Linked DNA regions of Medicago truncatula. The protein of the gene in region 2 interacts with the protein of the main gene of each other region in a pairwise test. Links are inferred from orthologs where the notes say so. Each region holds a gene or a part of one and is shown on either strand. Other genes may lie near its edges.

Evidence for each region.
Region 1: the proteins of transcription factor TCP15 (region 2) and protein DA1 interact in a two-hybrid assay, tested with the Arabidopsis thaliana proteins (2 studies listed by BioGRID). The link is inferred for Medicago truncatula from reciprocal best matches to the Arabidopsis thaliana genes TCP14 and DA1.
Region 3: the proteins of transcription factor TCP15 (region 2) and ethylene-responsive transcription factor 4 interact in binary tests that used the Arabidopsis thaliana proteins (3 or more experiments, as listed by UniProt). The link is inferred for Medicago truncatula from reciprocal best matches to the Arabidopsis thaliana genes TCP14 and ERF4.

Annotation. Positions count from the first base shown.
Region 1 is NC_053042.1:6,673,162-6,676,921, forward strand, and holds the start of protein DA1, read left to right. Parts: upstream 1-1,147; 5' UTR 1,148-1,582; intron 1,583-1,847; 5' UTR 1,848-1,890; coding exon 1,891-1,992; intron 1,993-2,109; coding exon 2,110-2,200; intron 2,201-2,327; coding exon 2,328-2,460; intron 2,461-3,089; coding exon 3,090-3,210; intron 3,211-3,319; coding exon 3,320-3,403; intron 3,404-3,523; coding exon 3,524-3,595; intron 3,596-3,760. UniProt on the Arabidopsis thaliana protein: Ubiquitin receptor that limits final seed and organ size by restricting the period of cell proliferation. May act maternally to control seed mass. Acts synergistically with DA2 to regulate seed size.
Region 2 is NC_053045.1:52,947,199-52,950,958, reverse strand, and holds transcription factor TCP15, read left to right. Parts: upstream 1-1,147; 5' UTR 1,148-1,585; coding exon 1,586-2,899; 3' UTR 2,900-3,307; downstream 3,308-3,760. UniProt on the Arabidopsis thaliana protein: Transcription factor involved the regulation of plant development. Binds to the Up1 elements (5'-GGCCCAWW-3') in early light-induced proteins (ELIPs, e.g.
Region 3 is NC_053043.1:38,973,791-38,976,854, forward strand, and holds ethylene-responsive transcription factor 4, read right to left. Parts: upstream 1,714-3,064; 5' UTR 1,589-1,713; coding exon 968-1,588; 3' UTR 617-967; downstream 1-616.

The DNA.
Region 1 (3,760 bases), on a different chromosome or scaffold from region 2:
TCGGGCTTTAATTAAAATACTATTTAAAAAAAATATTTATTAATGTTTTTAATTATACTCTTGTTAGTATTATCAATTATCTTATAATATCGACTCGATGATATATCCATATTTGTTGAGATCTATAGGTTTCAAGTTGTCATGTCTGTTTACACATTGGTACTGTATGCTCGAAAGAGCTTGATGCTTGTTGCTTTGTTTATGGAGTTGTTGCCGTGTTGGCAATCAATCAATTCGCCGAAATTAAACCTTACATGTTCGTGCAGATGTTCACTTTTCATTTTTTTTTTTTTGTAATTTGATTTTACACTCGTACACGGATTCGCTGGATTGAGCCAATAATTTGTGAATTTTTTTGTTGAAATGGATAAGGATTGATCACTAAGTTTGATTTATAGCGTTGTATTTTGGGTCAGGTTAATATCCATCACTCTATGCATCTCTTTTTGTTTAATATAATCTTTTGGCTAAAAAAAATAATATTATCTTATAATATGAAAAATTAATATTAAATACAGCTATACACAAATAGTCCAATTTAATAATAGGAACGTATATTTTAGACAAATTTATTGCTCGTAATTTTATATTTTTAAGATTCATGATTTTTGTAAAGTTGTCTTATAAAAAGGGGATGGAGGAAATACGAGAGAAAGATTAACCCACTATGTATAAGACAATCTCTAATAGGGAGATCTTAAATTTGAAGACCTTAGTACTTATTAGGTACCCTATGAGAGAATTGTTTTTAGATGTTTATAAGACTCAAGGTCTCACTTAAGACTTTAATCTTAAGTGAACTCTGTATATTTTTAATATTTTTTTTGTACAAGCCGTATATTTTTAATATTAAAAACTTGGATGTAACAATATATATTTATTGATAGTTGATTAACATGTCTCATTTAAAAAAATTGTCTGAGATGCTGGAGGAACTGAACGTTTATTAGGTGCTATTGTTAAAAAATGCATATCATTCTTTAGGCTAGTTAAAAGTAAAATAAATAGTATAATTCATTTGGCCGAGACATGCATCGTTATATGCAGGAGCCGGTGTTCGAACCTCAGACATCCCAATTTGAAGGTGAGTTCTAGATAAAAAAAGTAAAATAATATAAAGAAAGAAAGAAAGAAAACTGTTCTGGTTTTCGGTATCAGAACAAACTTTTTGTCTTTTGGGGTCTCCCTTCGTAAGAAGGAAGAAGGTGTGTGTTGTGTGTGAACAAGGAGGACCCCACACAGACACACCTTTGTATTCCAAATCTCCTCCTCCTATCTGGATTTTAAATAATAATGATAATTGATGAAATGTTTTACTTTTCTTCAAATTTAATTTGACTTTATAATCGCGTGCACTTCTTCTACTTTTCCCTCTTCTTCACATTTATTCATTCTTTTTTTTTTTTTTTTATAATTAATTCTTCATTATTATTCTTTTTCTTCAATTGTCAATGATCTAAAGAGTCTTTTCTTTCTTACTCGTTTTTGAATCATTCTTCCAAATTAGATCACACAACCAAACCAAACTATTTCAATTTTCTTACAATTCGCTTTTCGCTGCTTCTGCAATTTCTTAACAGAGGTTAGTTCATAATTCAAGTTTTTTGTTTCATAAACTTATTTAATTTTATTTAATTTTTATATAAACCTGCTAAACCCCCGTCTTTTTTGTGTAAGACAGGGACATCTTGTCCCGGCACTAACTCATGCGATTACATTCAATTATGTCAATTTTTCAAATTACTATCGCTGTCGCGTGTCAGTGTCTGTGTCCGTGGATGATTTTTTTTGCAATATCTTGATTCTTGATTGTGATTACTTTTTTATGTTGATGTTTATTTGTGCAGGGAGGAGCTGTTCTTGTTGAACATATAGCTATTTTTTTTATTCATGGGTTGGCTTAGTAGAATTTTTAAAGGGTCTGATCATAAGGTTTCTGAAGGGCATTACTATAAAGACGATTCGAGTTATTACTTGCCATCAACTTCAGGGGTAATTTTTAATGCAATTTGTAATGCTTTAGAAATTTTTGTCTGGTTTTGGAAAATGTTGTAAGTTATTGTTTTAGAAAATTTTGTGTCGCGTGTTTTGATAGGGTTTTGAATGTAGGATGTTTGGACTGAGAACGAGAATGAAGATATCGATCGTGCGATTGCGTTGTCTTTGGTAGAAGAAAATCAGAAAGTGAAAAATGTAAAAGGTGAGTGAGATAGCTCTAAAAGATTATTGCATTATATATATATTTTTTTTTTTTTAGGAATTGATACATATTTTCCTCAAAAATAGTTTCTGTTCTGTATTTATGAAGTTTTCTGTCCATCTTACAGACCACAAATCACAATTAGAAGAAGATGAACAACTTGCCAGAGCAATAGAAGAAAGTCTAAATTTGGAGTCACCTCCCAAACATGGAAATGATAATATGTATCAACCAATTCAGTATTTCCCGATGGGGTACAGGTATGAGTTACAGGATAACATTGTGCATCTCAATTCCCACTTATTCGTGCTGGTCTTGTTGAACTACTTGTCGACTGATGATCTTATGAATCATCAAGGATATTTTGGTAGGAAGGGGCTGATGTGATGTACACTGGACTAGAATGTAGCTTTAAAAAAACTGGACTAGAATGTAGTCTAGATACACTGTTCATTCTTTTTATCCTCTTCAAATACCTTGTACTAAACACTAGCCAAGTATAGAGTGCTGCACAAAAAAAATTAACGGTTGTTATTTATATGTGTGTGCGCGTGTGTTGGTATAGACTTTTGAGTTGCCAAGTCAGAAAGTGTGGGGTTGTTATTATTGTTGTTGTAGAGTCTTGATCATGATGAGATGAATATATAAATAACCATGGGGTACTATGAACTAAGTTCCGCAACCAAAGAAGGGATAGCTTTTGTATCATGTACATCGCATTCAATGCTCATAAACAAAGAGAGAAAACATTTGCCCATCAATTTTCTGTTTATGTTCAGTTGATGGAGAAATTATTCTATTATTTCAGCTTGGTGTTAGATTAGAATATCAACAACATATGTAATGCAGACTCAATTGTGGATATCTAATCTAATTATTTACATAATAGGATATGCGCTGGCTGCAATACTGAGATTGGTTATGGCCGCTATCTAAACTGCTTGGGTGCATTCTGGCATCCTGAATGCTTTCGTTGTCGTGCTTGCAACCTACCAATCTCTGATTATGAGGTGCAAGAATTTCCTTTGATCAAGTCAAATTTCTCATTTTAATGTTTTCGTAACTGTTTTTTGATCAAGGTTTTATTGGTATTTCATGTATATTTCCTTGCTTTTGTAGTTTTCCACGTCTGGAAATTACCCTTTCCATAAAGCATGCTATAAGGAAAGCTACCATCCGAAATGTGATGTCTGCAAGCACTTCGTAAGTATTTCCCCTTAACAACTTTTTACATTCTTGCATCTGATACCTATCATAGACTATCGTTTGCCTTTACTTTTTGATATGTAAAAATGGATGGGGAGAATGGAAAACGTTATCCAGATTACGGTCTTATGGGAGCCATACCTTATGAGTATAACCACGCCAAATGCTAATTTAGATACTAGTAATAGTGTAAGTAGATTGCTTTCCTGGTCCTGAATAATTGGTGTGCGAGTGTCGTTGATGTGAAGTTTTGAACAAGCTTTTATCTTTGGGAATATTAATACTTTTTCTGTCTTTTACAACTCTACGCTTTTATGCATTTTTTATGCCTGCAATTGGAGGGAGAATGGGAGA
Region 2 (3,760 bases):
CTTAAATGCAAAGAAAATGAAATTGGTTTCTGTGTAGTTAATTTAATTTGCTCACATGAGCTGAAAAGGAACAGTGTCAGCCTCAACTTCAAGTAAAGGAAAAAACTCATGAGGATTCAATCGAATTCTAACCAATAAAAATGTTGAAATAGACTTCCCTTATAAACAACACATAGTGACTGCTTGTTCTCTCTGAAACTTTACAAGGATTTAGATCCATTTCCATGTGCTACTTTGTGGTCCTAAGTCTGTAGAAGATAACTCCCAATAGCATCTATTTTTGAGTACCTCTAAAATACCTTATATGTATATTATCTTGTCATTTTCCACAATTGAAATTTTAAAACGTAACCCTTTTGATATCTTATACACTTAGTGGTATTAAATTTACTTAAAAGTGGAAAAATGCTATTTGGTTGATTTGATTGTTAAATTGAAAAAAAGGAGAAATTGATTGAGAGGTTTGGTCGTGTAATGGGATATGTATATGTATGCAAATATGCAATTTAATTAAAACTTTGAATGACTTGTAATAGGTATTTGATAATTATTGACCACGAAACATCCTTAGAGAGTAAATTAAAGTGATAAACAGGAATCTAATTTTGGATACTCGAAGGGATACAGTACTATAAATATGGTTGGTTAGGGACCAAGATGTTTGTAATTACATTAGAAGAATGTATAGTTGATGTGAAATAAACTAAGCAAAACAAAATGTAAACGCTCTCTAATTAGGTCCATGTATTGAGAGAAGAAGGAAAAGCAAAGGGGCAAAGTTGAAGAGCAAAGGTGAAGAAGAAAAGGCAAAATGAAATGATTACATGAATGAGATGGGACCCAATTGATAATATTTCCTTTCCAGGTCTTTCAATTTTATTTTTTTTTGACTTGGGATCGGGTCCCACTTTGGCCACCATTGTCTTTATGGATTGAATGATAAAAAGAGCACCTCACGTGGAGTCTGAACCAAAGACGCTGTCCAACCATAATCAAAAGGGAACAACACAATACTACTCTACTCTCTTCCTTCCATCACACAAAATTAAATTAAATTCAAACAAAAAAAATATTAGATTTTTTTCTACTTCCAGCTTAAATCTTCATCTTTCCATACAAGCAGAATGATTAAAATCTAAAAATATCTTCATTAAAAATATAAAAAATAAATAAATCCCACTCATCAGTTATAATGAAAAAGCTCATGAACACCACAACTCAAGAAAGCAATTTCTTTTCTGGAAAAAATCATGCTTTTTAAAGCTCACCCATATAATTCCCACTCATTATCTTTGTTGCTTAAAGCTCTTCTCCTCCTTATCTCATCTCTCACTATCTCTCTCTCTCTCTCTCTACTCTTAAACTTAACCACATCAATTCCAAAGCAAATTCCTTCATTTACCTAAACAAAGTAACAAATATAACAACACACCCATATCTCCCCCTCAAAATGAGAACAAAGACCCACCATACATATTAAACTACTATAACCTCACTTATCATACACAACAACACAAGTCTCTCTCATATTCATATATCAAACTCACTTTTATTTTTTTTATTTTTTTTTACTATCCATGCGATCATGGATGGAGGAGATGATCTCCACCACCATCACCACCACCAGCACCATCAACACCACCACCAACACCAACAACAACAAAGACAAAATTTTCCATTTCAACTTCTTGAGAAGAAAGAAGATAACCAAGAAGCAGCATCATGTTCAACTTCTTCTCCATATCCATCCCTAGCAATCTCACCAACAGAACCAAGTACATCAAATTCAAACCGATCCAACCAACTAGTCCCAGCATCAACACCAACAACCTCTGACCCTGCCAACAAAAAACCTCCTCCGAAAAGAACTTCCACCAAAGACCGTCATACCAAAGTAGAAGGCCGTGGCCGCCGCATCCGAATGCCGGCACTTTGTGCTGCTAGAGTTTTTCAGCTTACACGCGAACTTGGCCATAAATCTGATGGTGAAACCATTGAATGGCTTCTTCAACAAGCTGAACCAGCTGTTATAGCCGCCACTGGTACTGGAACTATACCTGCTAACTTCACATCTCTCAATATCTCACTTCGTAGCTCAGGCTCATCCATGTCTGTTCCATCTCAGCTAAGATCTTCTTACTTCAACCCGAATTTCTCACTTCAACAACGAAGAACTCTTTTTCCTGGAATTGGTTTATCTCCTTCAGATAACAACAGCAACAACAACACTTCAATGCTTTTGAATTTCCAATCAAATAACCTAACAAATATGTTGCAGGCTAAACAAGAGGTTCGAGATGGAAACACAAACTCAAACGCTAACGCGAACGCTCCTTCTTCATCAACCACGTTAGATTTATCTGAAACAAGTGGAGAAGAATCCATGGGAGGAAGAAAAAGAAGAACTAGCAGTGGTGGCAGTGAGCAAGATTTATCATCATTACAACATCAAATGGGGAGTTATCTGATGCAATCAAGTGCAGGTTCAATTCCAGCAAGTCATACTCAGATTCCGGCAAATATATGGATGGTTGCAAATTCTAATAACCAAATAATGAGTGGTGGTGATCCTATATGGACTTTTCCGTCAGTGAATAATAGTGCTGCTGCTTTGTATAGAGGAGCAGTTTCAACTAGTGGTTTGCATTTTATGAATTTTCCACAACCTATGGCTTTGTTACCAGGTCAACAATTAGGTAATTCTTCCGGTGGTGGTGGTGGTGGTGGGAATATCAATATGAATATGAATATGAATGAAGGACATTTGAGTATGCTTGCTGGTCTTAGTCCTTATCGTCCGGTTTCCGATCATCATCAACAACACCATCAACCAAGTGGATCACAATCACATCATCATCGCAGTGGTAGCCATGAACACGATGATCGACATGATAATTAATCACAGCTCCTACAAGATCATCATCTTCTGCTTCTTCTTCTTCTTCTTACATTACTTGTCTAGTAGTTTGATTTGATGATGTGTTTAATTTTAACACACACGTGAGGTTTGTTTGATCTTATTCTAAATTGAGTTTTATTGTTTATTAATTATTATTATTATTATTCCCAAAATTAATTTTTTGGTGTGATTAAGATTTTGGAAGAGAGAATGAATGATTCAGGAGAAGTGAAGAGAAAACAAGATAGTATTTTAGGGTTTGGAAGATGAGAGTCACTATTTAATTAACAATTGGGGTATTTGGCTGCCTGCTTTACTTTTTTTGTTCTTTTCCTCTGGCAAAAAAAAAAAATGTGTTCCTTGAATTATTTCAGTTCACTACTGCTACTACAGGATATCTTATCATCATTGTTTGTGCAATTCACTTTTTCTTTTTGAATTTTTTTTACCACGTAGCTAGCTTTTTAATTACATTGCTTTGTATAATTCTATGTTGAAGAGAGATCCAAGAAAGAAAACGACTTACTACTATTTGATTTGATTCCATTACACGACTAGCTGAGTTGAGTTTCCTACCTAACAGGCATTTTTGTTTTCAACATTTATGCTTTTCCTTTTCTTTTTTTCCATCTCTCTTTCTGGGCCACAACAAAGCTCGTGCGGTAAAAGGAATGAAACAGTGTGTTACCCTAAGACTATACTATAGATAAAAAAAAAAAATGTACTAGAACTACTATTAGTAAGTGAAGTGAAGTGTGTTAAATAATGTAAATTTACATTGCTTTTTGATCATTCTGATTCTACTAAATGTGTGACATGAATCAGGAGGTTTACTGCATCAATGATTAAGATTTAGTAAAA
Region 3 (3,064 bases), on a different chromosome or scaffold from region 2:
AATTTAAAATTTGTGTTAAACATTTTACTATAAAAGTTGAGATTTTGTTTTATTTTAAGTAGACAATTTCAACAAATTTACAATTAGTGTATTTGTGGTCTAAAATTCAATCCGAAATGAAGATGTAAAGTCATTTGTTTCATTCAAAAATAATTAAATTCACCTAATTAACTTACAATGTTCAATCAAAATTCCCATAGAAGCACAATTGTTTAGTCATTTGATTCACGCAAAAAACCTTACTTTTTTTTGCTGAGGTGAAACAACAAACCTTACATTTAATAAATTTTCTGATAGAAAGTGGAGCCCATGTTGACAATCTAGTGTAGCCAAACATCAATTAAAAATACAACCATTACTACTAGTACTAGTATTCGAAAAGAACAAACCAATCAAAGAACGTTCGTTTGAGAAAAAAAATACCCTAACCTAATTATACTCACAGCGGCGGCAACATTCACATGCTTGTAATCGTAAAATCTCCACAGCCAAATCCAACCGAATACATAGAAACAAATCTGAACTGTACCTTAAAAAAAGTGAACATAAAATATACATATTCTCTACCTAGTGGATAACGTTTGAACTTTGATCAAACAAACAAACTAGAATGAAATCAAATAAAAATGCTACCATAACATATCATAGAGTAATTAACTAAAATTTCAATTCATAATTTAAGATTAATTGCAGAAACAACCATGAGATACTAATAACAAGTTCTCAGTTGCAAAAATTAATAAGGTTCCTTCTTTCAGTTATATTTACAAAGCGTGCTCGTTATCATCATATTCATGAACAAATCTGAGCACCATGTCAGCAACACACTTTGCGTTCTCTCTCTCTTTCTTCGTTAAATATTTTTCACGAGAGTGATTCCGTTCATCAAAATGGGTACTTCAAAAAACGAAAAGAAAAAAAAAAATTAATTTTTTTTTTGCTTATGGGTCTTCAAAATAGATCCAGATCAAGCAACTTCAGGTGGTGGAGGAACATTAAGATCAAGATCCAAGAGTCTCTGACGTGGCACACCTTCATAATCAACAACGGAGGAAGAAGAACCAGAGTCACTCTGCACGGCGGCGCGTCGAAAATCAGCCATGGGACGTTCAAATCCACACATCTCACGACGGCCAACGGTTAGGGCTGTTTCAGCACGTGCGAATGCGTCAAAAAACAAAACAGGACGCGCCACCGGATAGGCCAAGGTAACACCACCGTGGGAGGAGGAGAATGGTGTGAGAGTTAAATCAAGCGGAGGTGGCGACGGTGATTCAAGAGTGCTGCTTTGACTAGGGCTACCGTTGTTGATAATCTCCAACGGCGTTGGAAAATTTGTCTTCGCTTTTGAGCCGCGAAACTCACGTGCCGCTTTGTCGTAAGCACGCGCTGCTTCTTCAGCGGTGTCGAATGTTCCAAGCCAGACACGTGTTTTTTTACCTGGGTCACGGATCTCAGCGGCGTAACGACCCCATGGACGTTTTCTTACACCTCTGTAACGAATCTCTTTCTGGGCTTGAGCCTGGGCTGATGGGTTTGGCCCAGGCCCGGTGGTGGTGTTGGTGATTCTGTTATCTCTTGGAGCCATTGTGAGAAAATTGAAAATTGAAAGTGAGAAGTTTTTTGTTTTTTGGTTTAATGGGAGACAGAATGAACATAAAGAGATTTTTTTTTTTGTGAATTGTGAAACTGAGACAATGTCTGAGGGAAACAAGGGGGAGAATAAGGTGGTTTTATAGGAAAGAATGAGGAGAGAGAAGAAGAAACTACGGCGCGTGCGTGTGTGCGTGACTGCGTGGTGTGAGGAGTTATAAAGCTACGCTCCTTTTAAGCGATTGTTATTTACACAAAACGTGTCTTCTCTAACACGAACCAAACCACTTTTGTTCCAAGCTGCTTGTTTCCCAATCCTCTTTGTCTTTGGTTTAGTTAGTTACTCGAGAGCTTCATTTATTTTTCCTCATTTCCCTATTCATTGTTGTTCTAATCTAGAACCTTTGTTCCCTTCAATTGGACTACACCTAAAAATCACTAGTAGTAAAACATTTTGTAAAAAAAAAAAAAAAGTTGACTAACTTTTGTAATTTCTAATTTCTAATTTCATTCATTTTAGGTTGTGTTCTTTCCTATTTTAAGTTTGCGAAATGATATTTGAACGTAAAGTGTCTTTATTTGGCATTTAAATTACGAAAAGAATATAAGTGATTGATTTTTTGGGAAATTTTTTTTTTCTAACCCTTTTTGCCAAAAAAAATTCAGATATGACCCCCTTTGAAAAAAAAATACCGAAATGACCCACTTTTGAATTTTTTTTTTTTTTTTGTCTTCTAGCGCGTTTCCGCCATCTGAAATAGCGGGACTGGCCGCCGGATCTGACAGCCGTCGCGTCAGGCTGGCGCTGCTTTTTTTTTTTTATTTTTTTTCCGTTCCCGCCGTTTCATCTGGCGGGACTGATTATTTTATTATTTTGTTCGTTTTTTCTATTTTACAATTAAATAATAATGATAAATAATAATAATAATAATGATAAATAATAATAATGATAAATATTTAATAAAAAAACTACTTTCCCCGCGGAAACCAATTACGCCAATGTAAACTATGACCTCCCGTGCTTTGCCATAATCCAAACATGCGAAGACTAAAGAAAGGTCGACCCAATAGTACCCGCATAAGGACTGAAATGGACGAGGAGGTGGTGGAGAGGACTCCAACACCGAGACGGTGTGGGTTGTGTCGGCATACCGGTCATATTAGGAGAAATTGTCCGAGTTTAAATAATCGGTAGTTAATAACGTTATGTATTATGTGTTCAAATAAATTAATATATTTTTATCTATCATTATTATTTGTTGTGTTTTATTTTATGTAAAAAAATGCTATTTGTTCAAAAAAAAAAATGTAAAACAATGCTGCCAAAAAAATAAAAAGAAAAAACGAAAAAAAGATAAATTATGTGCTACGGGAGGTCATAGTTTACATTGGCGTAATTGGTTTCCGCGGAGAAAGTAGTTTTTTTATTAAATATTTATCATTATTATTTAATTGTAAAATAGAAAAAACG